Linked DNA regions of Canis lupus familiaris. The protein of the gene in region 1 interacts with the protein of each later gene in a pairwise test. Links are inferred from orthologs where the notes say so. Each region holds a gene or a part of one and is shown in the gene's direction. Other genes may lie near its edges. The genes, in order: KASH5, NSG1, TMEM11, UPK1B, GALNT2, STX5 and EMD.

The links.
Region 2: the proteins of KASH5 (region 1) and NSG1 interact in binary tests that used the Homo sapiens proteins (3 or more experiments, as listed by UniProt). The two-hybrid records come from large-scale screens. The link is inferred for Canis lupus familiaris from reciprocal best matches to the Homo sapiens genes KASH5 and NSG1.
Region 3: the proteins of KASH5 (region 1) and TMEM11 interact in binary tests that used the Homo sapiens proteins (3 or more experiments, as listed by UniProt). The two-hybrid records come from large-scale screens. The link is inferred for Canis lupus familiaris from reciprocal best matches to the Homo sapiens genes KASH5 and TMEM11.
Region 4: the proteins of KASH5 (region 1) and UPK1B interact in binary tests that used the Homo sapiens proteins (3 or more experiments, as listed by UniProt). The two-hybrid records come from large-scale screens. The link is inferred for Canis lupus familiaris from reciprocal best matches to the Homo sapiens genes KASH5 and UPK1B.
Region 5: the proteins of KASH5 (region 1) and GALNT2 interact in binary tests that used the Homo sapiens proteins (3 or more experiments, as listed by UniProt). The two-hybrid records come from large-scale screens. The link is inferred for Canis lupus familiaris from reciprocal best matches to the Homo sapiens genes KASH5 and GALNT2.
Region 6: the proteins of KASH5 (region 1) and STX5 interact in binary tests that used the Homo sapiens proteins (3 or more experiments, as listed by UniProt). The two-hybrid records come from large-scale screens. The link is inferred for Canis lupus familiaris from reciprocal best matches to the Homo sapiens genes KASH5 and STX5.
Region 7: the proteins of KASH5 (region 1) and EMD interact in binary tests that used the Homo sapiens proteins (3 or more experiments, as listed by UniProt). The two-hybrid records come from large-scale screens. The link is inferred for Canis lupus familiaris from reciprocal best matches to the Homo sapiens genes KASH5 and EMD.

The regions. Positions count from the first base shown.
Region 1 is NC_049222.1:107,767,635-107,771,134, reverse strand, and holds part of KASH5 (protein KASH5), read left to right. Parts: intron 1-2,808; exon of another isoform or gene 2,809-2,823; coding exon of another isoform or gene 2,824-2,851; intron 2,852-3,314; coding exon 3,315-3,419; intron 3,420-3,500. UniProt on the Homo sapiens protein: As a component of the LINC (LInker of Nucleoskeleton and Cytoskeleton) complex, involved in the connection between the nuclear lamina and the cytoskeleton.
Region 2 is NC_049224.1:70,378,274-70,382,203, forward strand, and holds the start of NSG1 (neuronal vesicle trafficking-associated protein 1), read left to right. Parts: upstream 1-1,130; 5' UTR 1,131-1,223; intron 1,224-1,440; 5' UTR 1,441-1,466; coding exon 1,467-1,595; intron 1,596-3,930.
Region 3 is NC_049226.1:42,883,548-42,886,156, reverse strand, and holds the end of TMEM11 (transmembrane protein 11, mitochondrial), read left to right. Parts: intron 1-1,207; coding exon 1,208-1,724; 3' UTR 1,725-2,109; downstream 2,110-2,609. UniProt on the Homo sapiens protein: Plays a role in mitochondrial morphogenesis.
Region 4 is NC_049254.1:23,511,391-23,515,347, forward strand, and holds the start of UPK1B (uroplakin-1b), read left to right. Parts: upstream 1-1,157; 5' UTR 1,158-1,313; intron 1,314-3,957. UniProt on the Homo sapiens protein: Component of the asymmetric unit membrane (AUM); a highly specialized biomembrane elaborated by terminally differentiated urothelial cells.
Region 5 is NC_049225.1:9,621,604-9,625,857, reverse strand, and holds the start of GALNT2 (polypeptide N-acetylgalactosaminyltransferase 2), read left to right. Parts: upstream 1-1,454; 5' UTR 1,455-1,522; coding exon 1,523-1,648; intron 1,649-4,254. UniProt on the Homo sapiens protein: Catalyzes the initial reaction in O-linked oligosaccharide biosynthesis, the transfer of an N-acetyl-D-galactosamine residue to a serine or threonine residue on the protein receptor.
Region 6 is NC_049239.1:54,388,737-54,392,236, forward strand, and holds part of STX5 (syntaxin-5), read left to right. Parts: intron 1-895; coding exon 896-1,012; intron 1,013-1,096; coding exon 1,097-1,153; intron 1,154-1,325; coding exon 1,326-1,407; intron 1,408-1,873; coding exon 1,874-1,980; intron 1,981-2,147; coding exon 2,148-2,269; intron 2,270-3,500. UniProt on the Homo sapiens protein: Mediates endoplasmic reticulum to Golgi transport.
Region 7 is NC_049260.1:123,237,323-123,241,245, reverse strand, and holds EMD (emerin), read left to right. Parts: upstream 1-1,141; 5' UTR 1,142-1,230; coding exon 1,231-1,312; intron 1,313-1,399; coding exon 1,400-1,507; intron 1,508-1,669; coding exon 1,670-1,747; intron 1,748-1,974; coding exon 1,975-2,108; intron 2,109-2,541; coding exon 2,542-2,615; intron 2,616-2,692; coding exon 2,693-3,026; 3' UTR 3,027-3,423; downstream 3,424-3,923. Other genes in the region: collagen alpha-1(I) chain-like, read left to right, coding at 1-358, 421-747. UniProt on the Homo sapiens protein: Stabilizes and promotes the formation of a nuclear actin cortical network. Stimulates actin polymerization in vitro by binding and stabilizing the pointed end of growing filaments. Inhibits beta-catenin activity by preventing its accumulation in the nucleus.

The DNA.
Region 1 (3,500 bases):
TTATTTATTTGACAGAGAGAGAGAGAGAGTGCGCAGTAGGCAGAGCAGCAGGCAAAGGGAAAGGGAGACGGAGAAGCAGGCTCTCTGTTGAGTGGGGAGCCAGATGTGGGGCTCGATCCCAGGACCCTGAGATCATGACCTGAGCCAAAGGCAGACGCCTAACTGACTGAGCCACCCAGAAGCCCCTTGTAGCCACATTTAAAAGAAAAAGAAACAGGCAAAATGAACAAGAATAATTTTATTCAACCTAATATATCCAAAGTGGTATCCTTTCAGCATGTAATTAATATAAAAATGTATTGGAGATATTCCTTTGTTTTTTCATACCAGGGCTTCAAGATATGGTGTGTAGTTTATACTAACAGGGTGACTTAAGTCTCACCACAGTTCAAGCACTCAAGAACAGTGTGTGGCACGTGCCTGCCCTGTTTGGTTAGTGCTGCCCTAGAACCATGTATGACTCCAAGGAGCTCAGTTATGGTCCTTGATTGTTTGGATGGATGTACACCCAAATGGTGTGAAAGCCAGCTTCAGAAGTAAGAGGAAGCGGGCAGCCCGGGTGGCTCAGCGGTTTAGCGCCACCTTCAGGGCATGATCCTGGAGACCCAGGATCAAGTCCCATGTCGGGCTCCCTGCATGGAGCCTGCTTCTCCCTCTGCCTGTGTCTCTGCCTCTCTCTTTCTCTCTGTGTCTCTCATGAATAAATAAATAAAATCTTAAAAAAAAAAAAAGAAGTAAGAGGAAGGGAGACACTGGGTGGTCCTCTCTAAAATTCACCTGCTAAGTGGGAGAGCTTATTGTGATGGGGGAAGAGGCTCCCACCCTAGGGGAGAGACAGGACTGCTTTCTTTGAGGCTCCCAGGGTCCAGCAGCAGGGCTTGCATCTTTTCTCCAGGCTACGGGCCTGGACTCTGGCCTCAGGAGGCTTTCCAGAGGGGAAGGTAGGAGGGAGACACCTGGGTGCAGGGACCAAGGGCAGGTGGACCAAGAGACTTGCCACAGCAGCTTCATGGACACCAGCAGAGGGCGTGCAGCCACCAAGGATCCCGTGGGCCAGGGCCAAGCCAACTGGGGAGGCTTCTGAAGGAAAGGGAAGGACACACCCGGGAGAAATGGAGACAGACCCAGGGAGGGAGGGGGCAGAGATGCTGAGACTGTCAGGCAAGGAGAGAGAAGGCTCGGGGAACAGAGAGTCACCGAGATAATGGGAAAAGAAGCCCAGAGACAGAGAAAACAGAGAGGCAGGGCACCGGAAAGAGAGAGATGGGGAGGAAGATGGAGAGAAGGAGCCAGAGAGAAAACTAGAGAAAGGCAGAGACAGAGAGAGATAGAGACACTGAGGACGGAAACAAAGAAAAGAGAACAGGAGAAGCAGTGACATGTTCCTGGGGGACCCCAGGGAGGGACTGAAGACCCGTATGGATCCCCTGAGCCAGACAGTCCCCGGTTGACTCTGGCTCCACTCTCCCTAGCTGGGCAGCCCCAGGGAGTGACCTCTCAGGCTGTGATTCTCACTGGGCCTCAGGGTGCTCCTTGGTTACCTGGGGAGCACAATGAGAGGAGCAAACAGGAGAGTTCAGGTAAAGCTCCAGCAGGGGCCCTGGTGTCCCCCAACTGTGGGTTCCTTCCCCCTTTTCCTAAGAGCATGGGTTCAAACCTGAAGGGGCTGAATTTTAGCTCTCTACAAAGAATCCCCTGAGACTAAAAAGAATTAGAGCAATCATGGACACCTGGTTGGCTCAGTCGGTAGAGCATGCGAGTCTTGATTTCAGGGCTGTGAGTTCAAGTTTCACATTGGGGGGCAGGGAGCATACTTAAAAAAAAAAAGAAGAAGAAGAAGAAGAAGGATTTGTATGTTGAACAGGTGACCTGGGGCAAATTCCTAACTTCTCTGTGCGAGTCTCCTCCTCTGTAAAATGGGGCTAATGATAACAGCCACCAGGGTCCATACAAAACCCCCAGAAGAGGAAAGGCATCCACTAACTGCTAAATAAATGTTCAGTTCTGTTATTTAGCCTCTACCACATGCCAGACCTTCAGCCCAGGGCCTTTCTAGATTTTTTTTTTTAAGAATTTTATTTATTTATTTGACAGGGAGCGAGCACAAACGGAACATGGCAGGCAGAGGGAGAGGGAGAAGCAGATTCCCCTCTAAGCAGAGAGCTTGATGAGGTCTGGATTCCAGGATCCGGGGAATCATGACCTGAGCTGAAGGCAGACACTTCACTGATGGAGCCGCCCAGGCTCCCCAGCCTTTCTAGATTTTACCTCACTTCCTCTCTGGGAGGGAGGAAACAGCCCCATTTTCCAGAGGAAGAAACTGAGGCTCGGAGAGTCTATGCTCCTTACTAGGGTTGCCTCTTGGGTCTGTCAGACTGCTGCCCATGCGAGACCTGCTGCCATACCCGGTTGTTCAAGGGCAGGACAGGGAACCTTGAAAGTCACCTCTAGTTCCAAAGACGCAGAGTCCAGTAACTCCTGGGGTGGAGGATCTCCTCCTGTATCTTGGAGCATTTATTGAGTGCTTACTATATGCCGGTACAATAGATACAGAGATGAACAAACAGTCCTGGGGACATGCACATTGTGTATCTCTGTTGGGAGGGCTGTTCCCATACACAAACCTACTGCTCCCAGTCCTGGTAAGGGAGGGAGGGGGATCAATACCCACTCATTTTACTGGTGGGGAAACTGAGGCTCCAAAGGGAGAATTGACCTGCACACAGTTGCGTAGCTGGGCTCTGAGCTCCTAACCACTCCCTGACTGCCTACCCTGCCTAGATCATTCACCCCTCTCATCTCAGGCCCGGGCTGTGGGCACCAATGACGCCAGCCTCGCCTGGGGATTCAGGTAGGAGAGAGACCCGGCCCCCTAGACAGGAGATGCAGCCGGCAGAATTGATCCAGGCTGCCCACGCCTTATTGGATTGTTCCTGGCTCCTGGGCTCCCCTTCACCCTCAGCTCCTCCCGGAATCCTCTCTTTGCCCTCCTCCGCCCCTAGCCCCCTCTGAGCAGAGCCTGGGCGGCAGGAGAAGAGAGGAGGAAAGGGCAATCTCAGAGCTTTTGTCATTCTGGGTTCCCAAGTGGCTTGGACACAAAGGATTAGACAGCAGGGGGCACCTCCTGGCCTGAAAGATGGGACCCGCATCCCCAGGGTGGGGAGCTAGGAGGCCACTCAAAGACCCTTACATTGCTGTCCCCACTAGCCCCAACTCCAGGTAGTTGGAGTTCCTTCCCTGCTGCAGGAGCACAGAACCTAAAGCCATTTCTCTCCTGCCTTCTCATGGGTGGGCAATTCCTCTTGTCTCCCCAGTGTACCTCTGGGACCAGCTGGAGGAGGGGAGCCTGGGGACGCTGCTGAGCTTGGAGGAGCAAATACTCAACTCTATGTTCGAAGCTTGTGACACCCAAAGGACAGGTTGGGAGGCTGCAAGGGGGGGCCAGGCAGCCCTGGGCCTGTAGACACACAGAATAATAAGGGATTGGGGGCAGCTGGAAA
Region 2 (3,930 bases), on another chromosome or scaffold:
GGAAGTATCCAAGCGTCAGCAGGGAAGCTCCACACAAGGGGCTGGGGTTCCACACAAGAAACCCCACACACAGACACGCAGTGGCACCGCATCCGTGCTGTGGTATAAAGGCCTTTGCCAGGAAGATGCCCGCAGCCGGCACCTGGCCGGAGGGGGGCCAGGACCTGGGGCACCTGCCTCCCCCAGGCTGCCAGGGGAGCTGTCAGCAGCCCTGCTGCGGAGCTCGGAGCTCGGAGCTCGGGGCGGGTGGGAATCAATGAATGATCTCTTGTATGGAAGGGGTGGGGCCCTCCTGGGGCCTTGGAATTCAGGGTGCCCGGGGCCAGGTTCCTGGCCTGGGCTGCGAGGCTGGCTCAGTGCATTCCCTGCGGTCCTGGAGCAGGAGAGGCAGGCGGCTGCGGGAACAGGCTGGGGTGCGGAAGTGGGACTCTGGGGACACCTACTCTGGGCCCCGGCACGGCCGAGACAGACAGGTGCCTGCAAAGGCCCAATTCCCTGGCCGCGGCCGCCTCCAGCTCCTGCCTGGCCCCCGCGCCCCGCTTTCCTCATCTGGGGTCCTGCAGCCGGGGCTGGCCCCGCGTCCGCAAAGTGACGCCCTAACCGGGGCCGCTCCTCTGCGACCCGGACGCTCCAGGCAGCGGCTGCAGGGAGGGGACCCCCGCTTCCTCGGGCGAACGGGAAGGAACCGCTGCCCCCTCCCTCCAGCGCTTGCAGCGCGCCCCGCGCTCCCTCCGCCCCGACCCCTCCCGCCTCCCCCCTCCCCGCAGGGCCGCGCTCACGCGGGGGCCCCTCCCCAGCCCCGCCGCCCCCACCCGGGGGTCGCTCCGTCCCTGGCCTCCCCCGCCCCGCCCCGCCCCCCTCCCCCGGGTCCCTCCTCCCCCCGGGTCCCCGCCGCCCCCACCCCGGGGGCCGCTCCCCCCCGCCCCGGCGCGCCCCCCGCAGTCCGGGCGGGCGCGGGTCCCGGGGCGCCCCTTCGCGCGGCCGCGCGCGCTGCGTCAGGGCGGAGTTGCCGCGGCCGCCGCCACAGGCGCGCACTCAGCGCTCGGGCGGCCCCGGGGGCGGCGGGAGGGGAGGCGGCGAGCGGGGGGAGGGAGCGGCCGCGAGCCCAATCGCTCGGCTCCCCCGCCCGGCCCCGCGCGGCGCCGCCTCCGCCATTGCTGCGCGCGGGAGCGGCCGACGCGGACCTCGCCGCGCGCTCCGAGCCAGACCTGCGAGCCGGCGGGGTGAGTGCCGGGGCCTCCGCCGGGTCCCTCCGCCGCCGCGGGGCGCCCCTGAGCCCGGGTCCGCGGGTCCCCGGGGGGTAGGGGCTGGGCCCCCCCCGCCCTGCCCTGCCCTGCCCTGCCCTGCCCTCCCCCTCCCCCCGCGTCCCCCACCCCTCTTGCCCCGAGGCCAGGCGGGGGCCCGGAGCCCGGAGCCCGCGGTGACCCCCCCCCCCCGCAGGCGGCAGCCTCGGCTCTCCCGGAACCATGGTGAAGTTGGGGAACAATTTCGCGGAGAAGGGCACCAAGCAGCCGCTGCTGGAGGATGGCTTCGACACCATCCCCCTGATGACGCCCCTCGATGTCAATCAGCTGCAGTTCCCGCCCCCGGACAAGGTGAGAGCCCCCGCCCCGGCACCCCGCGCCGCCGGGCGCACCCCGAGTCTCGGGCGCGGCCGTGCGCCGGGGCGGGCGGGGGCCCCGGGCGGAGACCGGTCCCGGCAGGGGAGCGCGGTCGGCGACGGGCGCCTCTCGGTGTTCTTGGGAGTCCTGTCACAGAGGGGCCCCTGCCCCGGGCAGCAGGCGGTGAGGGCCTGGGGCGGCCTGGGGCGTGCCCCCCTCGGCCCCCTCGCCGCGGAGAGCCCCAGGCTGGACCCCGCCGGGGGCTGGACGCGATCCTCCGCCCCCGCGCCCCCGGCCGGCCCTGGATGCCGCAGGGTGTCTGCTCTTCCCCGGGCTTCCTTCCTCTCTTTGTTCCTTTGTGAAATCTTCAAGTAAGCGCCCTGCGCGCTGGGTGGGAGTGTAGCCGGGGCCAACCATTCAGCATCCTTTCCCCGAAGTGGGGTTTTCTCTTCTGATTTCAAGAGTCCCTTCTTTTCTCGAGTACAGCATCCGATCAAGTGGTTTCTGCCCATTAAGGATGTTTTCAAGAGTTAGCGTTTACAAAGGTAAATGCAATGATTGAAAGTCTGGAAAATGGTATTGTAGAACTCAAACCTAAAATAATAAACGCGGCGCCCGCTCTGACCACCTTGCTGCTGCTTAAAAACCACCCCGGCCACGACTGAGCTCCTTCTATTCCCCGAAGTGCATTTACATTTATTGTCTCGTTTAGCCCTGGTGAGGAGGTTCTGACTCAGGTCTTTGTCTTTTATTCGGCATGCTGGCCACGGCTGACCACCGGATGGGGATAGGGGAATATCTCCGCCGCGATGCGGCCTTTCCTTCTGGAAGATTCCTTTATTCCCATATGGACCCTTTGACTTAGTCCTCTGGAGTGGTTCCCATCCCTCCAACTCTATTGTCTCCGTTTTGGGTGGGGGGGCGGGGGCAGCAGGTGTTCCAGTTCAGCAAGAGGCCCCGAGGAGCACACCTGTGCACCCGGCCACGTGGGGCCACTCTGGGGCACTGATGGTCCAAAGGAGGCTGGGGGAACGGCTGGGGCAGGGCTGCCTCCCCCTGTGCAGCCCCTTTCCCTGCTGAGCCGGCTCAGCCCGCTCCACTGCCCCCACCTTCCCCTCCCACCTCAGCCCCAGGCCCAGAGTGGTGGCGGCCTGTGCCAGGAACGCTGTGTCCCGAGGCAGCACCTCTGTCAGGTGACTCCCTCCGCTCAGCCTGAGCCTCCTCTTTTGCACTCAGTCTGTTCCATTTCTGAATTGTCTGGCTTATACCAGGGAGGGGGCTTTCAGGCAGGTGTGAAATCCTGGACAATCGGATCACTGAGAAGTAGCCTAGGTAGGTCTGAAAGGTAATGAGTCTCCCGTCCCTGGGAGTGTTCAAACCAAAGGACGGAACTGGCAGGGATGCTCCAGACACAGGAACCAGTGGTTGGGCTAGAAGATTTCTGAGGTCACAGATGAGGAGACGGAGTCTCAGAGAGTTCACAGGATGTGCCCAAGGTCACACGGCTGAAGGCCACAATCCTTACAAACACAGAAGCTTCTGGCAGGGCCTCATGGTCCCTTCTCCTTGGGACAAGACCTCTCTCTCACACAAGACCTCACTTAACCCGAGCAACAGCACTGTGTTGCTCACAGCCAGGGTTCAGGGAGGCGATGTCACCTGCCCCAGTTGATGGGGCTTGTGGGATCAGGTCACGCAGTCAGGGTCATAAGTGGAGTCTGTCCTGAGAATGTGCACTGAGGGCTGAGGTGCTGCAGTGACAGGGGTCACGGAGCTGGCAGCAGCGTCAGGGCCAGTCTCACCTGACGTTTGTTGATGCTTGCAACGTGCCAGGCATTTGTTCATGTGCTTAAATTTCTTTACCGTTATTGCCTCCGATTTACAGATGTGGAAATTGAGGGTCTTGTCCAAGGTCACCCTGCGTGTTAGTGGCAGATGCAGACGAACGCAGGCGGCTGGAGTATTGAGCGGGTTCCCACGGTGCCGAGCGTCGTGTGGATTCCCGTCTGCTCTCTGCAGCCGGGCGAGATCAGCCTTGCTCCCATTTCACGAGCCAGGAGTCTGAGGTTCTGAGTGGCAGGGTGTGTGCTCCATGTCACACAGCTAGTAGGGGACAGTAGGGACTAGAGGACAACAGGGTGATGCACAGAGGCTGCTCCAGAGCCCGGCCGGTACCCAGACTGTCACGCTAGGCGTGCCCCCCCTCAGCGTCGGGAGAGCTGCACACACATCAGGGAATGAAGACGGCAGGTGTGTGATTATGGGTTTTGTGGCCCTTGGACCACTTTTTGGTGGCAGCCAGCATGGGCTGCTTTCTCTCCTGACTCCG
Region 3 (2,609 bases), on another chromosome or scaffold:
CAGATGAACTAAGAACACAAAACTAGGAGAAACGGTATATGTTGGATGACGGTATGGAAATTCAGAAGGATCTGGACAGGCTGAAACAAGCCAAATGGAAATGACAAGGAGTGTACAGGTCTATATTTAGGTTTGCCCATCAGGGGTGTGGAAAGATTCTGCTTTGGATGCAAAGTTTGCACTGAAGAGGCCTCAAATAGAATCCCGAAACCACCTAAAATGCCCCCATGGCCCATGGTCACAGCTCACTCGCTGGCCAGCTGAGTCTCTGGCCTCCGGATTTATCTTCCACCGGTGAGGGTCAGGTCACCCATCCCTAGTCCTAGGAGTTGGATCAGCTCAGCCACGTGAAGTGGGTCTTTGTGAACAGTGTTTCTTTTGTGTGAGAGAGAAACGTTTCCTGGCAATCCATACAGAGTCCTGGTGGTACAGGGTCAGTATGGGTGGGAGCCTCTGGGGGCCCTTAAGGTCCCTCTTACACTAAATTCCATTGTCCCTGTTCTTGAGGCATTGTCTTTTCCTAGTTGAATCAGAGGGCTTCTTTTCCTAAGCTGTGTGCTGGTGTTCTTGGGGCTGCTGGCCTCGGGTGTTTTCTGCAGCTTGTCCTCCCATGGTGGCCAGAGGAGTTTTGTTCTCTGTCATCCAAGGAAAAGACAACCCTATCTGTCTTGTGTTCTGCAGGCCAGGGATGACTACTTTTGAGCCTTGCAGAGGGTAGAGTGTTTGGCACAGCCAGCCATGGGTCTGTTGGTTTCCATCGAAGATTCGTCCTCCACCTGCTCTGGTTAACCAAGACCACGTTTCATTTTCCGACCTTAGGCCTCTGTGTTAACAGCATGCCAGGCAAAACATTCTTCCTCTGGGCTCCTTTGCAAACTTCACTCCACTGCCTTGAGTTAACCGCCAGGTTTGGTACACCTTGCAGGCAGTCATCTTAGAGATCTGGGTACTCCTTTTCCTTTGTCTTTCTACATTTCAGTATTTTACTCTTCCAGAAAAAAAATTTTTTTTAACTGAGTCACCTTGTGTATTGGGTTCCAAGGAAGATAACATAAGCGAGACATGGTGCCCTCAGACTCTCTGGTGAGCCTGAGGCCCCAGACTTCAGCCATGGACTTCTCCCCAGGGTCTCAGCACAGAAGTGCGGTGAGTGCTTCTCAGCCTAACTGTCTCCTCTTTCTCCTCCCACCCCCCCCAACTCCCCAAGGGTGAGCTTGTCGGCCACAGACTGTTACATTGTGCATGAGATCTACAATGGGGAGAATGCCCAAGACCAGTTTGAATATGAGCTGGAGCAGGCCCTGGAAGCCCAGTACAAGTACATCGTGATCGAGCCCACGCGCATCGGTGATGAGACGGCCCGCTGGATCACTGTGGGCAATTGCCTGCACAAGACCACCGTGCTAGCGGGTACCGCCTGCCTCTTCACCCCATTGGCGCTGCCCTTAGATTACTCCCACTACATCTCCCTGCCCGCAGGCGTGCTCAGCCTGGCCTGCTGCACCCTCTACGGGATCTCCTGGCAGTTTGACCCCTGCTGCAAGTACCAAGTGGAGTACGACGCCTATAAACTGTCCCGCCTGCCCCTGCACACACTCACTTCCTCTACCCCGGTGGTGCTGGTCCGGAAGGACGACTTGCACAGAAAGAGACTGCACAACACGATAGCACTGGCCGCCCTGGTGTACTGTGTAAAGAAGATTTACGAACTCTACGCCGTATGATTTCAGTAGGACAGGCAGAGGAGCAAACAGCCCAGCCCAGGAGAGACAAGAGTATTCAGATTGCCACAGTAACATTTTTTTGCTCTGTGAGGCAGCGGAGCCTGGGAAGGTGTTTGGTTTAATATTTGTTATTTTAAAAAAAATAACACAGGTCACAGGTGTACCAAGGGTTTTTCAACTCATTACACTAAGATGTGGATTTCCATAACCCACAGGGGGTCTGAGGTGTGGAAGTCTGACCAGGCAATGGAATGTTGATGGCAACGCTACTGAGGGGGTGTGAATGCGCTTGCGGGGTGGGGGTGGGGGGAGGTCTTTAAGTATATCGTTTAACTGTACCATCCAGAGCCAACCAGAAGCTATTGACCATTAAAATTATGAGAATTTCAACTTCAGGTGTCTTCTCTTTCCATTACTGCCTACAGCTGCTGCAGACAGCTCCAGGTGGTAGCTGGCACGTGGTAGCCGTGGGCACCATGGGTGCCGCCCTGTTCCTTGTTGCGACCTGGGATCACCATTCGCAGCAAGAACAGTCCTTTGAGCAAGGCAGGCCCAGACCCCTTCCAGAGCAGTCGCACAGCTCATGCCAGCCTCCTTTTCAAGGCCAGCACTGCTAAATGCTATTTGGGGACATGGTAGGATCAGGTGACGAGGCCTAGAGGTCACTGGGTTTCCACATGGGTCCATGTAGAGTGGAGGCCTGGGACCTCCTGTCCAAAGATTCTCATTTAGGACACACAGGTGGAACATCTGTATTTTTTTCAAAGCCTCGAAGCTGTTCCTGATGTGACCTGGAGTTCAAGCCCACTGCCTCTCCCAGATCTCCCATTCCACAGGAGCCAGCTCCTGAGCCCCTCCCTCATAGCAAAGGGCATGTTACACACC
Region 4 (3,957 bases), on another chromosome or scaffold:
TCAAGCCATATCTAAGTGGGCCCTGGAGGACTGAGGAGGAATAAGGCGTGTGATGAACGCACCGATGCCCCATGCAGGTCCCCCCCGAACAAGGGGGTGTGTGCTGCCCAGCTGCTGGGAGTGCTGACAACCCCAGCCTCCAGTGTCAGCCCCCTTCAGGGCTAGCCTCACCCTGAAAGCCACCTTCCCAGGGTGACCTCTATTTAAGGACTGATCACAGAGGGGCCCCATGCAGAACAACCGTGGCAGGCCAACATCTCCTGGAGCTTCCCGGCTGGAGGGAGGGGGTTGCCCGAGACAGTCCCACCTGCATGGCCACTTGTCTTCTCTCTCTGCCCAATCCTATTTCTTTCCTCTCCCTTCCAAGGGTATTAATCACAGGGCCATTCCCTAATAAATATACTGCACACTAAACTTTGTCTCGGGGTCTGCTTCCTAAAGAACCTAACCTGTTACAGAGATGATCCAGACCCAAGAAAATGCCTGCATCTGTTGATGAAAGCACTCAACAAATTCTAATATTGCTGCCATCACCCATCCCGAACTGTAGGCTAAATAAACTACTGTGCGCATAAACCATGATATGTTACGCAGACATTAACAGAAATGTTGGTGCTGGGTATGAAGTGGTGGCTCCAGTGGATGGGAAGGGAAGGGGAGGGAAGGAAGAGAAGGGAAGACAAAAGGAGGGGAAGAGAGGGGAGGGCAGAGGTGGGGAGGGGAGAAGAGGGAGGGGCAGTATTACTCTCATTGGTCTTTGGACCACCTATGGTGTATTAATTGGGCAATTGCTCTCCCCCCTAAATGTAGCATATGCAAGTTATGAAAACCGAAACTAGACGTGACCCTGGACAGACAGACATGTACCAGCATGACTCTGAGCAATCAGGACAATAGATAGGCCTTTAAGGGCACAAAAGCAAAAATAAGGATCAAATCATAAAATTTTTTTTAAAAAAATCAAATCAAAACAAAAACAAAAGCCCAGACCTAGGAGAAATCCAGAGGAGTGATGATGAGCTAAGGCCTGTCAAGGTGCTGCCATCTGTCAGAATCACACATTCCAAAGTAGCAGAAATCTCCAGTCGGGAAACTTCCTGTTACTTCCGGCCTCAGTGAGGCAAGCTCAGGCGGCATCAGGTTCAGCTCATGTGAGATGCCTCCTCCCAATCACAGACCATTCCTCCCTGGTCCAGGAGGTTCAGAGAATTGGTGCTGGGTAGAAAAGCACCTCAGGCCAGAGCAGCGTGCAGAGAGGGCCAGGACAGCCCAAGGAGGAGGAGGAGGAAGAGGAGGAGGAGGAGGAGAAGCAGGTGAGTAGTCGGATCTCACTCTGCAGGGAAGCCAACTGCACTCTCAATGGTTGGGTTGCTTTCCTGGGAGGTGAGATGGGGCCTGAAAGGGCGAGGGGAAGAAGATAATTTCCTCCTGAAGAGATCCATCATTTTTTGTAACTTAGACTATTATGACGATTTTGTTCTCTTTTACTTTAAATGTACAAATTGCCTTCTCAAACCTTTTGAAATTGTCCAGTTCTCAGAACTGAAATGAAGGATCTGAGAGTGTTATTCACCCATCCTAATTTTACCCTCCAATTTCCTGACCGAACGACCAAGAAAATCCAAGAACCCTGGGAAAACCTATGTCTCCTGATTAAAGTTTCAGACAGACCCCCGTGGACCCCAATTTCCTTGTGAAGTCAGAGAAGCAAAAAGAAAATTTAAGGAAATGGGTCATGTTCTTTCTTAATAATGTAGTAGAAAGTTCCCTGGTCATCTTGTCTGAAATCATTTGATCCTGCCTACTTGTAATGGAATATGTGAGGCAATTTACTCATGGTTTCTTCTCTGCAAACTCTGTTTAAGAAATGTGGCAGTTGAAATAAGTCAACAAATTAGCTTTATCTATGTAATGTTATTTTTACATAATTTATTTTTACTCTTCACCAATTAGTTGATCTACAGGGTCCACAGATCCTAAATATATTTTTCATTGTAACAACATTTCTACATGTAATACGAATTGAGTTTCCAATAATGCTAGTATTAGTTTATGTTTATAGGTTTAAAACTCCACTTATAACTAGTTTCAAAGATTTTGAACACATTTGGAATTTCTTTAATTTCAATGTCCTTTTTTAAATTAAAGACAATGTTGACCAATCATTTCTTCCCTGAATACAGTTGGCTAACCAGAAGAAGAAAGAATTCATTTAGATCTTATACACACACACACACACACACACACACACACACATATTTTCAAATCTTGTAAAGAAACAGTTTTCCTTTTGATTAGTTCTCCTTAATGAGGAAGAAATTTTCTCATTTTGCTTTTTTTTTTTTTCCTCATTTTGCTTTCTGCTGTAACAGCCTTTTTTGCTTTCTGCTACAATAGGCTGAAAAACCAAATCACCAATTTCTTTTTTAACTACCTGGAAAGAATCATAGACTTGTAAATCCAAAAGGGAATTTACACACCATTTAGTCGAGAAAAACAAATGAAATCTCAGAGTCTCTTGTTGACCTCTCCTGCTTACATTCTTACCAAGAGCAAACACCGATGAGTCCCTGCAGGCTGCCCACACCCCTGATGTTCCCTAACTGGGGCAAAGGCTGAATTCATAAAGAGGCGCCCTAATCTTACCTCCCCAAGGAGTCTCCATAGCATTCCTGCCTTGGGGCCGGGCATCCAGCTGGCATTGCCCGCCCCTGAGGTCCTCACTTGCCTGAGAATGAGCCACTGCTTCTTAGTCCTGACTTAAGGTGGGTGAATGACTCTGAGGTCAGCTGGCAAACATCAAGAGTCCAGAGCAGTGCCATCCAACAGGACTCTCTGTGATGATGGAAATGTTCTATACAATAACCACCAACTGCAAGTGCTATTGAGCACTTTAAATGGGGCTATTGCAACCAAAGGATTGAATTTTATTTTTTATTATTTTATTGGAGTTCAGTTTGCCAATGTGTAGCATAACCCAGTGCTCATCCCATCAAGGATTGAATTTTATTTTATTTTATTTTGAATTTTAAATCTTATGTAATTGAACTAGTTTGAATGAAAATAGCTACATGTGGCTACTAGTTACCATATTACTGAGAGCAGGTTTAGAGCTTGAAAGGGAGAAAAACCAATGGATGCTGTGAGCCCTGGGTGTCATGGCCATGGGAACAAGCACTGCTTGTCACCTTTCCCAGGGACTCATCCCTTCCCTAAATATAAGCAGACCAGCAATGGCTCTGATCTAAAATCCCCACACCCACCTTTCTTCTCCCCTCCAAGTCGAACAACTGTCTGCCTTTGTTCTGAGTTTCAAGGTCGGGGCTAAGGGAACAGCACAGTGTGTTTCTTGTTTCTTCCTCTCCTATTTCTCTCTCTCTCTTTTTTTCCTTTGTTAATCCAAATTTCTCTAGCATGAGCTAGAGTTTGAGGTGTGGTTTGCGTGTGCTCTGGCCCAACAAACTTGGGTGAGGAAAAGAGGTAATGAACTTGAAAAAATGAGCTCATGCTTGATGGGAGAGACTCACTTCTTTTTCTTCTGCTTTGAAAGGGTTTGTTTAGTGAGCAATGGTTTTTAGACCCATTCAATGTGTCTGGAAACATCAACACTACGGATATGAGTAATTTTTATAAGAAAACAAATGGAATGAGGGCACAAGGAAAAAAAAATAAAACCTAGCCTTTTAAAATGTTTGCCCTCCTCAGAGCAAAGGAGTTCCTGGGATGTTGAGCAATTGGAGTATATCATCATGGTGCCAGGCCACTGGGCAGTTTTCCACAGGGTGGGGCTCACAGAGGCTATTCTTGAATGTGGAAAACACTTTCGGGCAAGCTGCATACTTTCAGTCAAGGGTGATAACATTTCTGAAGTGGACAGCCACTAATTGGCTCTCTTAACAGCCCTCTACCAATCTCACCTTTTAAAATTCACCTCACCCCATTTGCTTGTTTTCTATC
Region 5 (4,254 bases), on another chromosome or scaffold:
GGAGGGACTGGCCGTCTTTTATTTCTGTAGGATCTTTAATTTGCCCTTTGTACTTCCTTCTTTCCCTTCTCTGCTAGGCCTCCAAAGGGCATTACCCTCTCTTTATTTATTTGACTTCTCCCAGAAGCAAGGCTTCTTCAAGGCTGCCACCTCCTGTCCCATTCTCTTTCAAACCTCTTCCCTGTTAAGTACCTGACCTGTGTTCAGTTTTAGTTTTTGGTGTTGGACTTTCTCTTTGTAGAGGCTTTAAGCCGGGACTTCACTTAAGTCCTTGGCAGCAGTGCAAGGAGCGCTGCTGGAATCCGATGTCTTTTCTTTCTTCTACTTAAGAAGTAATTAGAAGTTCAGTTCCCGGCATTCCCTCTCCTAGCGGTGCCGAAGGCTTGTTTGTGTTTGTATTTTGGTGAGTAGAGATTCAGATTCAGGCAGCTGCCTTATCCTCCAGACGGGGAAGCTCCTGAAATCGCGTTCGAAACAACCAGCGCCAAGTAACAGTTCTTTCTTTCTTAGGAGCACGGGGAAACTTTGCGTGTGGCAAGGGCATCGTCAAGGTTACAGAGATCTGTTACGAGACAGGTGTATTTTCCCGAGATGTTTATGTGCTAACTCTTCTTTCTTCTCTTAAGAAAGCAACACATTCAAAGGAAAAGATCGAAAAAACAAAATACGTCGCATCCCTTCTTCCTCTTTCGCGTTTCTTAACAACAAAATTAAACAAAAATAATCCTGCTACTGAGGGCTGTCCATTTTCTCGGAAAAACGTTCCCTTGACCGCTCGCATTCTACCCGTGGGCCCCCACCTCTGACTAAATAAATACCTACAATCGACAACTGGGGACCAGGGATGTTTTGCTGCGAGATTAGAAAGAAAACTGCGGCGAGCAGGGGCGAAGTCGGGTCCAGCAGGCGGGTTTGCACCAAAGCACTCAGGCGGGCGGGCCGGGAAGGGCGAGCCCGAGGGGTCCCGAGGCCCGGGAGCGGGGCGCCCACGGCCTCCCCGCCGGGCCCCGGTGCGTGTGCACGTGTGTGTGTGCACGTGCGCGCGCTCCGCCGGGCCGGGCCGGGCCGGGCCGCCACCTGTCACTCACGGGGGCGGCCGGGCCGCGGCGGGGAGGACGCAGAGGGGCGGGGCGGGGCGGGGCGGGGCCGGGCCCGCGGACGCCCTCCCGCCGGAGCCCCGCGTGCTGCCGCCATGGAGACGCGGCAATCCCCTCCTCCGGCCCGCGTCCCGGCCCCCGCAGCCGCCGCCGATTGGTCGCCCTTTGCTCCCTGACCCGCTCGCCGCCTCCGAGGCCGCCGCTTCCTGCTCGGGCGCCGCGCCGCGCTCCCGGCCCGGGGCGGAGCTCGGGCGCCGGGCGCGCGCCGCCTTCGCCGCCGCCGAGCAGCCGCCCGCGCCGGAGGAGGAGCCGCCGCCGCGCCCTTCCCCTTCCTCCGCTCCTCCCCCGGCCCGCTCCCCGCCCGCGCCGGCCCCAGGCAGCACTCGCGAGCAGCGGCGGCCGCGGCCGGCGGCCGAGAGGGGAGAATGCGGCGGCGCTCGCGGATGCTGCTCTGCTTCGCCTTCCTGTGGGTGCTGGGCATCGCCTACTACATGTACTCGGGGGGCGGCTCCGCGCTGGCCGCGGGCGCGGGCGGCGGCGCCGGCAGGAAGGTGAGTGGGGCGCCCTGCCCGGGCCCGACCGGCCCCCGAGCCCCCGGCTCCCCTTTCCCCGCCAGCCCCTCGCGCGCCGACGCGCCCCCTGCCCCGCTGCGGACCCCGCGCCGGGACGAGGCGGGCCGGGCGCCGACGGGGGCTCCCGCCCCTCCGCTCTCCTCCGCTCGGGCCCCCGCTCCCCTCCCCCGGCCTCCCGGCCGGCCCCCCGGGGCAGGGGCGCACCGGGCCCTCGGCGCTCGGCCGGCTCGGGAGACGGCGGCCCTGCGGGACCCCGGACGCCTTCCTCGGCGCCCCCCTGCCCCTCCGTGCGCGTCCTCCGGGTAGACGTCCCCCTCTGTCTGCTCCGCGTAACTGAAGTTGAGTCTGGTCCGGCCGCCGGGAGCCCCGTCCCCTGCGGTGGGAAGTTTAGCGGCGGGGGTGTTGGGACGCACAAAAGGGGGTGGGGAGGAGAGGAGGGAGAGGCGGCCGCCTCTCCGAAGCGCCGTGTGCGGGAGAGAGGAGTCCAAGTTTCTTTCCAGCCCTTTGATACAAGCCGCTGCAGAGCCTCCCCCCTTTCCCCCTTGTCAGCGCGCGGCGGGAGTTGGGGGGCAGCTCGGGGTCAGCTCGGGGTCTCGCCGCTTTCTCTGCCCATCGCCCCTGGGGGCGGCGGCGGCGGCGGCGGGTGCAGCCAGCCGGGTGCCGGAGAGAAGGGGCTCCCTGGGCGGGTGTGAGCCGAGGGCCCGCGCGCCCCTCGCCCGGAGTGGGGCCGGCCACAGACACCCCCGCCCCCCGACTTCGAGGCTCTGGCCCGCACGGCCCGACCCTCCTGGCCCCGCCTGGCCCGGGCGCCCTGAGCGTGCCTTTCCCAGCCCCGCTGCCTGGTTACGCGGGGGTGGTCCCTGTCCTATGGGCGTGCTTTGAGCAGGCTCCCGGGGGCCGAGGGGCTAGGCCCCGGGCACCGCATAAGCCCCCCGACAGCCGGGCGTTTTCGGGAGGAAATGGGGCGGCCAGGGAAGCCCCGACGGCGGGGTCCTGCGGCCGCGCGCGCTGCCGGCGGAGGGCTTTGGCTGGGCACATGCCGCCCGCGGGGTTGTGGCGCTTAGCGGGCAAGAGGCTTTGAAAGCAGCGCTATCTTTTCCAAAATCCTGTAACCCTCATTACTGTGGCGTTTAGTGTCACCGCGAACCCAGGAAATTCTGAGTTCATGGAGGTGGACCGCGGGTTGGGCTGGAACTAGCGAATGGTATTCTGAAACAAGCCAGACGGGACCGACCGTGCATGAACAGACTTTTTAGCCTTCAAGTCAGACAGGTGAAGTCAACGCTGAGGTTTGGCCGCCTCTGAGGTTTCCCCCCTTGTTTGTGTCATTGATTCACTGATTCATTCATTCTCACCTGAAGGTATTAGATGGAGGTAGGTATCTTGTGTGAGTCTTGGGAAATTGCATGGGTTTGCTTTATCTGGAGGGAACAGAAATGGAAAGTCTTTCCATGTGCTGAATTGGCCTAGCTTAGTTCTGCGCCAACAGGGTGCTCTTAGCCCAATTTCTTTTTCTTTTTTTAATGCAGAGAACTGCTGTAGATGTACCTGAAGTCTCTTGTTTATTCTTGAATGGTGAAGAGCAGTGCATCCAGTAGGAGCACTGCAGCCCTTTAAAAACTATGCTCATGTTAAACTGAAATTCTTTTCAAAACTTTGCTTTGCAATAAACTAGGCCTTGGCAGGTCTGCAAGGTCTGGTATGCTGGTGGGACCTGGCAAAGCCTTCTGCCTTTCATGCAAAAGAAAAACAAACAAATAAGCCACACTGGTATTTCTCTTTCCTTGGGTTTAGTACTTTCCTTAGTACCTGTGATTAGAAACAGCAACAGTGTGTCCTTAGCATCCAGAGAGGCTGCTTTCTCCCTGGTGGCCTTCAGCCGCTGGTTTTTGAGGGGTATCCTTAATTGAAAGAAAAAAATCCAAGAACTCTTTGTGACCTAGTGGCAATGGGAAGGTATGGAGATCAGGTAGGAAAAAAATGTGTGGGAAATGAACAATTATACATGGATTGGTGATTTGGGATTCTATTCTTTCTGTCAACGAACCATAAAATTTAATCCTAGCCCTTAGAATGGTTTAGTGATTTGTCAGTTGAGGAAGAGGTGTGTAAATGCAATAGCTTTTGAAATCACAGCAAAAGACTCATTAACTTAGGGTTGTGGATGCTGGTATAAAAGTCGAAGCTGCGAGACCATTCTGGAGGGCCTGAATAGAACCCCGCTGTCCTGAATTTCCTAATCTAGAGTGTAAAACTGGGTAGTCTTCCTTCCTCCTGAATTGTTTCCATGGATTTAAAGACTAAAGAGTCTTCAAATTTAGTTCATCCTTATGATGAAAGGAAATCTGTTGGGTTTTTTGGGGGGGGGGGGCTTGCAAAGTATGGACTTAAAAAAGATCATGTGGTATGCAAGTGAAGGCAGAATGTAAATAATAGCTATAGTTTTTTAGATGCAAGTGGAATTAATGTTTCTTCTCTTGATTCATACTATGCTATAATAAGTCAAAGCTCTTGTTCTGTATTTAGCACGTTTCGCTCTGCCCTGATGTTTTTCACGGGGTACCAGGCTTCAGTATTAGGCTTTG
Region 6 (3,500 bases), on another chromosome or scaffold:
GGGGAGCAGAGGATGCCTTGGTCGGGTGTAGAAAGCCTGGCTGTGCTACTTTACCTCATTGTGTGTGATCTTGGACAATTCACAGCTTTTACTCCTTTGCAATAGTAATTCTTGACAGGAATTCTGTATATAAGAAGTATTTTGTTGGTGCTTCCTGGAAACTACAGAGACTTTGACTCTTCCCTTCACCTGACTGCTGCCACAGGTGCTTTGTTGGTCAGCATGCTCCAGGTGTGAAATTTTGGTCTTCAGAGTAGTTCTGTGGCCATGTGCCTGGCCTCCTGAGGTGGAGTTGGGCTGTAGGATGAAGGGGGTAGTCAGCTAAGCATCTGCCTTCGGCTCAGGTCATGATCCCAAGGTCTTGGGATCAGGCCCTGCATTGGGCTCCCTGCTCTGCCTGCAGATCCCTCTGCTTGTGCTCTCTTTTTCTTTTTTGTCAAATAGATAAGTAAAATCTTTAAAAAAAAAAACAAAAAGGAGGATCCCAAAAACCGTGGCTCAGCAGTTTAGCGCCTGCCTTCAGCCCAGGGCATGATCCTGGGGTCCTGGGATCAAGTCTCACATCGGACTCCTTGCATGGAGCCTGCTTTTCCTTCTGCATGTGTCTCTGCCTCTCTCTCTCTGTGTCTCTCATGAATAAATAAATAAAATCTTAAAAAAAAAAAAAAAAAAAGAATGAGACCGTATTTCTCCTTTTCTGGCTCTACTCTGCAGGGACTGAACCAGAGCAAGGTCCAGAGCTTGGAACCTCCCAGCAGGCCCTTCTGGTCTGACTTTGAAATACCCACACCCCTGCTCGTAACTTCCACTCTGTCCTCTGTGCCAGAGGTGTCCATGTGGGAGAGACATTGGCTGAGGACCCTTTTGTTAATAGTTTTTCTTTGGCTCTCCCTAGGACATCAATAGCCTCAACAAACAAATTGCCCAGCTTCAGGATTTTGTGAGAGCCAAAGGCAGCCAGAGCGGCCGGCACCTGCAAACCCATTCCAACACCATTGTGGTTTCCTTGCAGGTGGGACCTGGGGTCCGTAGAGGGGGAGGCAGAAGGGAGAAAGGTGTTGTCTCCTTTGGCCGACCCTCTCTTCTTTTCTTCTAGTCAAAACTGGCCTCGATGTCCAATGACTTCAAATCAGTTTTAGAAGTGAGGACAGAGGTAAGAAGAATCTATGTAAGGGGTAGGACTCGGGATAAGGGCCCAAGGGGAAATTGGGGAAGAAACAAGTGCAGGGGTGAGGTTAACAGGGTCCTAGGCCAACAGGAGAGTCTCTCTCTAACACCTGCTTTCCAGAGGCCTCAGGACCTTTGCATTTCTCCCCCAACCCCAGAACCTGAAGCAGCAGAGGAATCGGCGGGAACAGTTCTCCCGGGCACCTGTGTCAGCCCTGCCCCTTGCCCCCAACCACCTGGGTAAGTCACTGGCAGTGCAGGGAGCCCAGAGGGGTAAGGCTCAGTTACTTTGGCTGTGACGGCATCCTCTAATCCTGTGAGGGCAGGGCTTGCGTAGGAGAATGGACAGCCAAGGGAGATGCCAGGATTTTTCAGAGATCAAACCTGATTGCTGGCATTCATGACCTGCACTTCATCTCCCACATTCTCACTGTTGGGGCTGAATTCAATCATGGGCAGTAGAATGACAGTTTCCAGTATTCTTTTAATTCATTCAGGTTCTCTCATCTAATTTTCACCACCACCTCTGAGAAGGCAACTATTACTATGCTCCATTTTATAGGGGGAGGAAACTGAGCTCTAGAGAGGTTAGATGACTTGTCCAGGGTCACAAGGCTAGTAAGTGGCAGAGCTGGGATTCAAATCCAGGCCATGTGGGCTTTGAACCTTTCAACCACTAGAAAGTGCTTTTTCTTTCTTTCTCCAGGGGGCAGTGCTGTGGTTTTGGGAGCAGAGTCCCGTGCTTCTGGGGATGTGGCCATTGACATGATGGACTCTCGGACCAGCCAGCAACTACAACTCATCGATGAGCAGGTACCTGGGCTCTGAACTGGGGAGGAGATGCTCCTCTGTCCTCCTCTGCAGGCCACCAGCAAGTGTTTGAAATGTACCTTGAGTAGAGTGGCAACCTGGGAGGGTCCTAAAGAGGCAGGCCCTGCCCTGAGGAAGCTCCTAGCGCTGACGTGTGCTCTCCTTCGAAGGATTCCTACATCCAGAGTCGGGCAGACACTATGCAGAACATCGAGTCCACAATTGTCGAGCTGGGCTCCATCTTTCAGCAGTTGGCCCACATGGTCAAGGAGCAGGAAGAAACCATTCAGAGGTAAGACTCTCTCTCTCTCATCCTAGACAGAAGAGCCTTCTCTTCCCTGTGGGGTGGCATCTTAAATGTTCCCAGGGACAGCTGGATGTCCTTTGGAAGAGTAGAGTGAGTCTGGCCCACCCAGGGAATCCATTCAACAAGTGTTGATGGAGCGCCTGTTTTTTGTCAGGTGCTATTCTAGGTACAGGGGGTATAGCAGTTAGTAGATGAGTGAAGTCTCTGTAGTTTAGGTGGGGAATTCAGTAGGGTGGGTGAGGACAGCTGTTCAAAAGAGTTGACATGAACTTTTCAGGTAGTGATAAGCTCTACACTGAGAATTACAGTGGGATGATGTGTGAAGAAAGGGGCTAAGTGATTCTTCTTGATGGACTCCTAGGCTTCTTCCATATTTTGGCTGTTGTAGATAATGCAGGGAACATAGGGGCGCAGATATCTTTCTGAGTTAGTATTCTCTGTTCCTTTGGATAAATGCCCAGAAGTGGAATTACTGGATCATGTGATTAATTCTATTTTTAATTTTTTGAGGAACCTCTACACTGTTTCCTATAGTCACTGCAGCAATTTGCATTCCCCCTAACAGTGCGTGAAGGTTCCTTTTCTCCACATCATCACCAGCACGTGTTGTTTGTTTGTTTCTTTCCTTTTTTTTTTTTTTGATACTAGCCATTCTGAAAGGTGTGAGGTGGTACCTCATACCTCATTTTTTTTTTTTTTTTAAGATTTTATTTTATTAACTCATGAGAGACACAGAGCGAGCGAGAGAGAGGCAGAGGGGGAAGCAGGCTCCACGCAGGGAGCCCGATGTGGGACTGGATCCCAGGTCTCCAGGATCAGGCCCTGGGCTGCAGGCGGCGCTAAACCGCTGCGCCACCGGGGCTGCCCCCTCATTGTGGTTTCATTTGTACTTCCCTGATGATTGCTTTTTTTTTTTTTTTTTAATTTTTATTTATTTATGATAGTCACAGAGAGAGAAAGAGAGAGGCAGAGACACAGGCAGAGGGAGAAGCAGGCTCCATGCACCGGGAGCCTGATGTGGGATTCGATCCCGGGTCTCCAGGATCGCGCCCTGGGCCAAAGGCAGGCGCCAAACCGCTGCGCCACCCAGGGATCCCCCTGATGATTGCTTTTGAGCATCTTTTCATGTGCTTGTTGGCTGCGTGGATGTCTTCTTTGGAAAAATATCTATTTAGACCTTCTGCCCATTTTGCAATTGGATTTATTTGTTTGCTTG
Region 7 (3,923 bases), on another chromosome or scaffold:
CAGGCTCTCCACGGCCTTGCAACCTCGCGCGCTCACCCGCGAGTACGCCGGGGCCCCCTGTGCTCGGCTCACCCCGGGGCCCACCCAGGCCCAAGCGCGCAGAGCCGGCCCAGCAGGTCGTCGGGGGCTTGAAGGCTCCCCGCCCCCCCAGGCTGCCACGGGGACGCCCTGGACAGCAGAGGAAAGCCCCGACGCCCCAGGTGGCTGGCGCGGGGGTCGGGCGCACGCTGGCCGCCGCCCGCACGCCGGGCTCGGCCCCCTGCCAGCGCCCACGGGCACGCCCAGTGCCTTGCAAGGATGCCCGCTCCTGGGGTGCCCGCGGCCTCCTGGCCCAGTGCCCCATTTCCTCCCGGGCGCAGTGGGAGGGAGGGAGGGAGGGAGGGTGGGAGGCGCTGGGGACCTGCGGGACGACGGGCGCAGGTGGAGAGCGGAGCGGGGCGGGGTGGCACCGGGGGCCGAGGCGGCTGCTGCCCGGGCCTGGGCCCCGCGGCCCCGAGGGCCCGCTCTCGGGATCGGGGTCCCTTCGCGCTGCGGCGGAGGCGCGGCCGGCCCGGGGCGGCCGGGGAGCGCGGGGTGCGGAGGGGGCAGGGGGCTGCGGGGACCGTCGGAGCCCGCGTGACTCAGGGAGCGCGAGCCGCGCCCAGCGCGTCAGTCCTGCGCCGCTTTCCTGTCCTGGCCGGTTTCTGCCGGTTCGACTTGCGTAGGTCCCCACCCCCGCCCTCCCGACCCCGACACGCCAGCCGGTGACGCCTCGACCGCCCGCCCCGCCCCGCCCCCACGTCGCGGCGAGCCCACGCTCGTCCCCGCCCCCGCAAGCCCGACTCCTCGCTCGAGCCCCGCCCCTGCGCGCCAGCGCGTGACGCCCCTCGGCCGGCGGGCCCCGCCCCTCCGGAGCGCGGCCCCGCCCCGCCGCCGCCGCCAGCCTATCCCGCCCGCTTGCGACGTCTGACGTCATGACGCCCGCCCCGCCCGCTCCCACGGTCCCCCGCTCCGCGCCGGCGCCGCCGGCCCGGCCCCGCCCCGCCCCGCGCGCAGTCCGCAGAGCCCGCGGCCGTGACGCGAGCGTGACGCAGGCGTGACGCGAGCGCTGCCGCTCCCGAGACGCTCGCGCCGCCCCCGCCGTGCTCGGAGGCAGCGGTAGCTGGGCCCGCGTCGCCAGGCCCGGGCCCCCCCAGCTCCCCGCCGCCCGCCGCCCGCCAGGCCCGGGCCCCCGGGTCCCCGCCGCCCGCCATGGACGACTACGCGGTCCTGTCGGACGCCGAGCTGGCCGCCGTGCTGCGCCAGTACAACATCCCGCACGGGCCTGTCGTGGGTACGCGGCGGCGAGCGCGCCCCCTCCCCGCCCCCCCCCCGGGGTCCGGCCCGCGGCCCTGACGCCCCGCGTCCCGTGTCTGGCCAGGTTCCACTCGCAAGCTCTACGAAAAGAAGATCTTCGAGTACGAGACCCAGAGGCGGAGGCTGTCGCCCCCCAACTCGTCCGCCTTCAATTTCTCCTATCGGTTCTCGGGTGAGGCCCCCGCCCCGGATCTCCACCTGGCCTCCCAGGGGGACGGGGTTTGGGCGACGGGGGGCACGGGGTCCGGAGGGTGTGGCAGGGGCGGTGGCTGGGAGGGGCACAGGAAGAAGGGAGGGGAGCCGGGGGCAAATGGTCCCGCCCCCCCCCCCTCAGACTTAGATTCGGCATCCGTGGACTCGGATATGTACGATCTGCCCAAGAAAGAAGACGCCTTGCTTTACCAGAGCAAGGGTAAGGCTGGGCGGGCGGGGGGGGGGCACCCTGGGGGGGGCACCCTGTCACCCTTACCCCCTCCCTCAGGGAGCCTGGTGTTGGGGGGACCTGGGATCTCAAGCCCGTCATCCTCAGCAGCCCCAGAGGGGAGAGACGGTGCCACAGGCTCCCACGTGGGACTGAGATTAGGGCCAGGTGGGCGCAGCCACTGTGCACCTTGCTACCGCTCTCCCCCCCTTCCCAAGGCTACGGCGATGACTACTACGAGGAGAGCTACCTGAGCACCAGGACCTACGGGGACCCTGAGCCTGTGGGCTCCTCCAAGGGCTTCCGCCAGCCATCAGCTTCACTCGCAGATTCGGACACCTTTCACCACCAGGTGAGTTGGCTGCCGAGCACCTGCATACAACCTGTGGGGGTCATAGCTGGGCTTGGACAAAACCTGGACGGGGGGGGGGGGGGGGGGGGGCGCACGCGGTAGGCCCTGTGCTTCCCGAGAGGCAAGGTAAGTGCACACCTCCCTTGGCAGGGCCGTCCTTGGGGGAGTGTCAGACCTAACACTAGGGCACCTGGGACGCCGTGCACCCTGACCTGGGATCTAGGTTTGAGATCTTTCTCAGACCCCCCGGGGCAGAAAGTAAGGTGCAGGCGGCCAGGATACCTGTCGAGTTGTGGAGCGGGTGACAAAGCCCTACCGGGCTAAGGCTGGTAACTCAGGAGGGTTTTGGAGGGAACAGGGTCCGGGTGTTTCAGCTAGGCTAGTTTGCAGTGAGGACGGGACAGGCTACAGGCTGCTGACTCTGCTGGCCAGTTCCCCTCTCCCTGACTGTTACCTGCAGGTGCGCGATGACAGTCTCTTCTCTTCTGAAGAGGACAGCAAGGACAGGTGAGTGGCAGGAAGGGCCAGGCAGCGGGTGGTTCTGGGCGCAGGCCCCCTGGCTCACCTGCTGTCCTCTGCCTCAGGGAACGCTCCGGGTATGGCCGGGACAGCGCCTACCAGAACATCGTGCACTACCGCCCTGTTTCCAACATCTCCAGAAGCTCCCTGGGCCTGTCCTATTATCCCACACCCTCTTCCACCTCTCCCATATCCTCATCTTCATCTTCCCCCACTTCGTGGCTCACCCGTCGTGCTATCCGGCCAGAAAAGCAGGCCCCTGGGGCTGGTCTGGGCCAGGACCGCCAGGTCCCACTCTGGGGCCAGCTGCTCCTGTTCCTGGTCTTTGCTGCCTTCCTGCTCTTTGTTTACTACTCCATGCAGGCTGAGGATGGCAATCCCTTCTGGACGGAGCCCTGAGGGGCTGGCTTCGTGGCCAGCTGTTCCCGGAAGTCCTGGCTGACTGCCTTAGTAGTGTCTGCTGGGGGAGGGGGTGGGGGCTTTTCTGTGTGTTCTAGCTTCGGTGTGCTGGGCTTGGCCCAGGGCAGTGCTTGCTCCCCTGCCTCGTTCTGCCCAGGAGGTGGCAAGCCCAGGCCCTCCGCGGCATGGCGGGCCCGGGCAGGCCTTCCTCTGGAGTCTCCTGGTCCTGCTTGCCTCTGATCCAGGGCCCAGGAGGGTAAGACCCTTCTCCTGGAGAGGAGAACATGGTTGTTGTCATTGCATGCCTCCTGTCTGTTGTCACCTCGTCGGGGGGGATTAACCCAGGCCACCCTGACTTTGTTTTCGTGGACACAATAAAAAGACCATTTATTTTTAACGTGTGGGCTCTCTTTGCTGGGAAGGACTTGGGCTGGGAGCCTCCAGGCCTTGGGTCTCCACGAGCAACATCTGGCTTTGTTCGCTCTCCCTTCTTGCTTTGGGGTTGGGGTAGGGATCGCATGCTACCCACGGGCACGTTTGTGCTTTACTGGTAGGGTTTGCTCCCTGACTCGTGACCCAAAGCTGCTGTAACTAGGCAAAGAAGCGTGCCCCCACGGGATGCAGAGAGCTCCCCCATAAATGCAGGTGAGGGTGCGTGCACAGCACTGGCTACAGATGTTCCGACAGGGAGGAGCCGACAGCCGGCCTCAGTACCCAAGGGCAGGTGGACAGGGAGGAAATGCGGCGAGTGGCGGGCTCCTCCCGGGCGGCCGCTTGTCCGGGGGGGGGGAGAGGCCCACAGGATGCCGCATCACCCCTGTGTAAATCCCACCCCTCACCTGCCTATGTTCTTGCTTATCTCCAGGTTTTCTGTGCGGGAGGCGAGCACCTCCACCT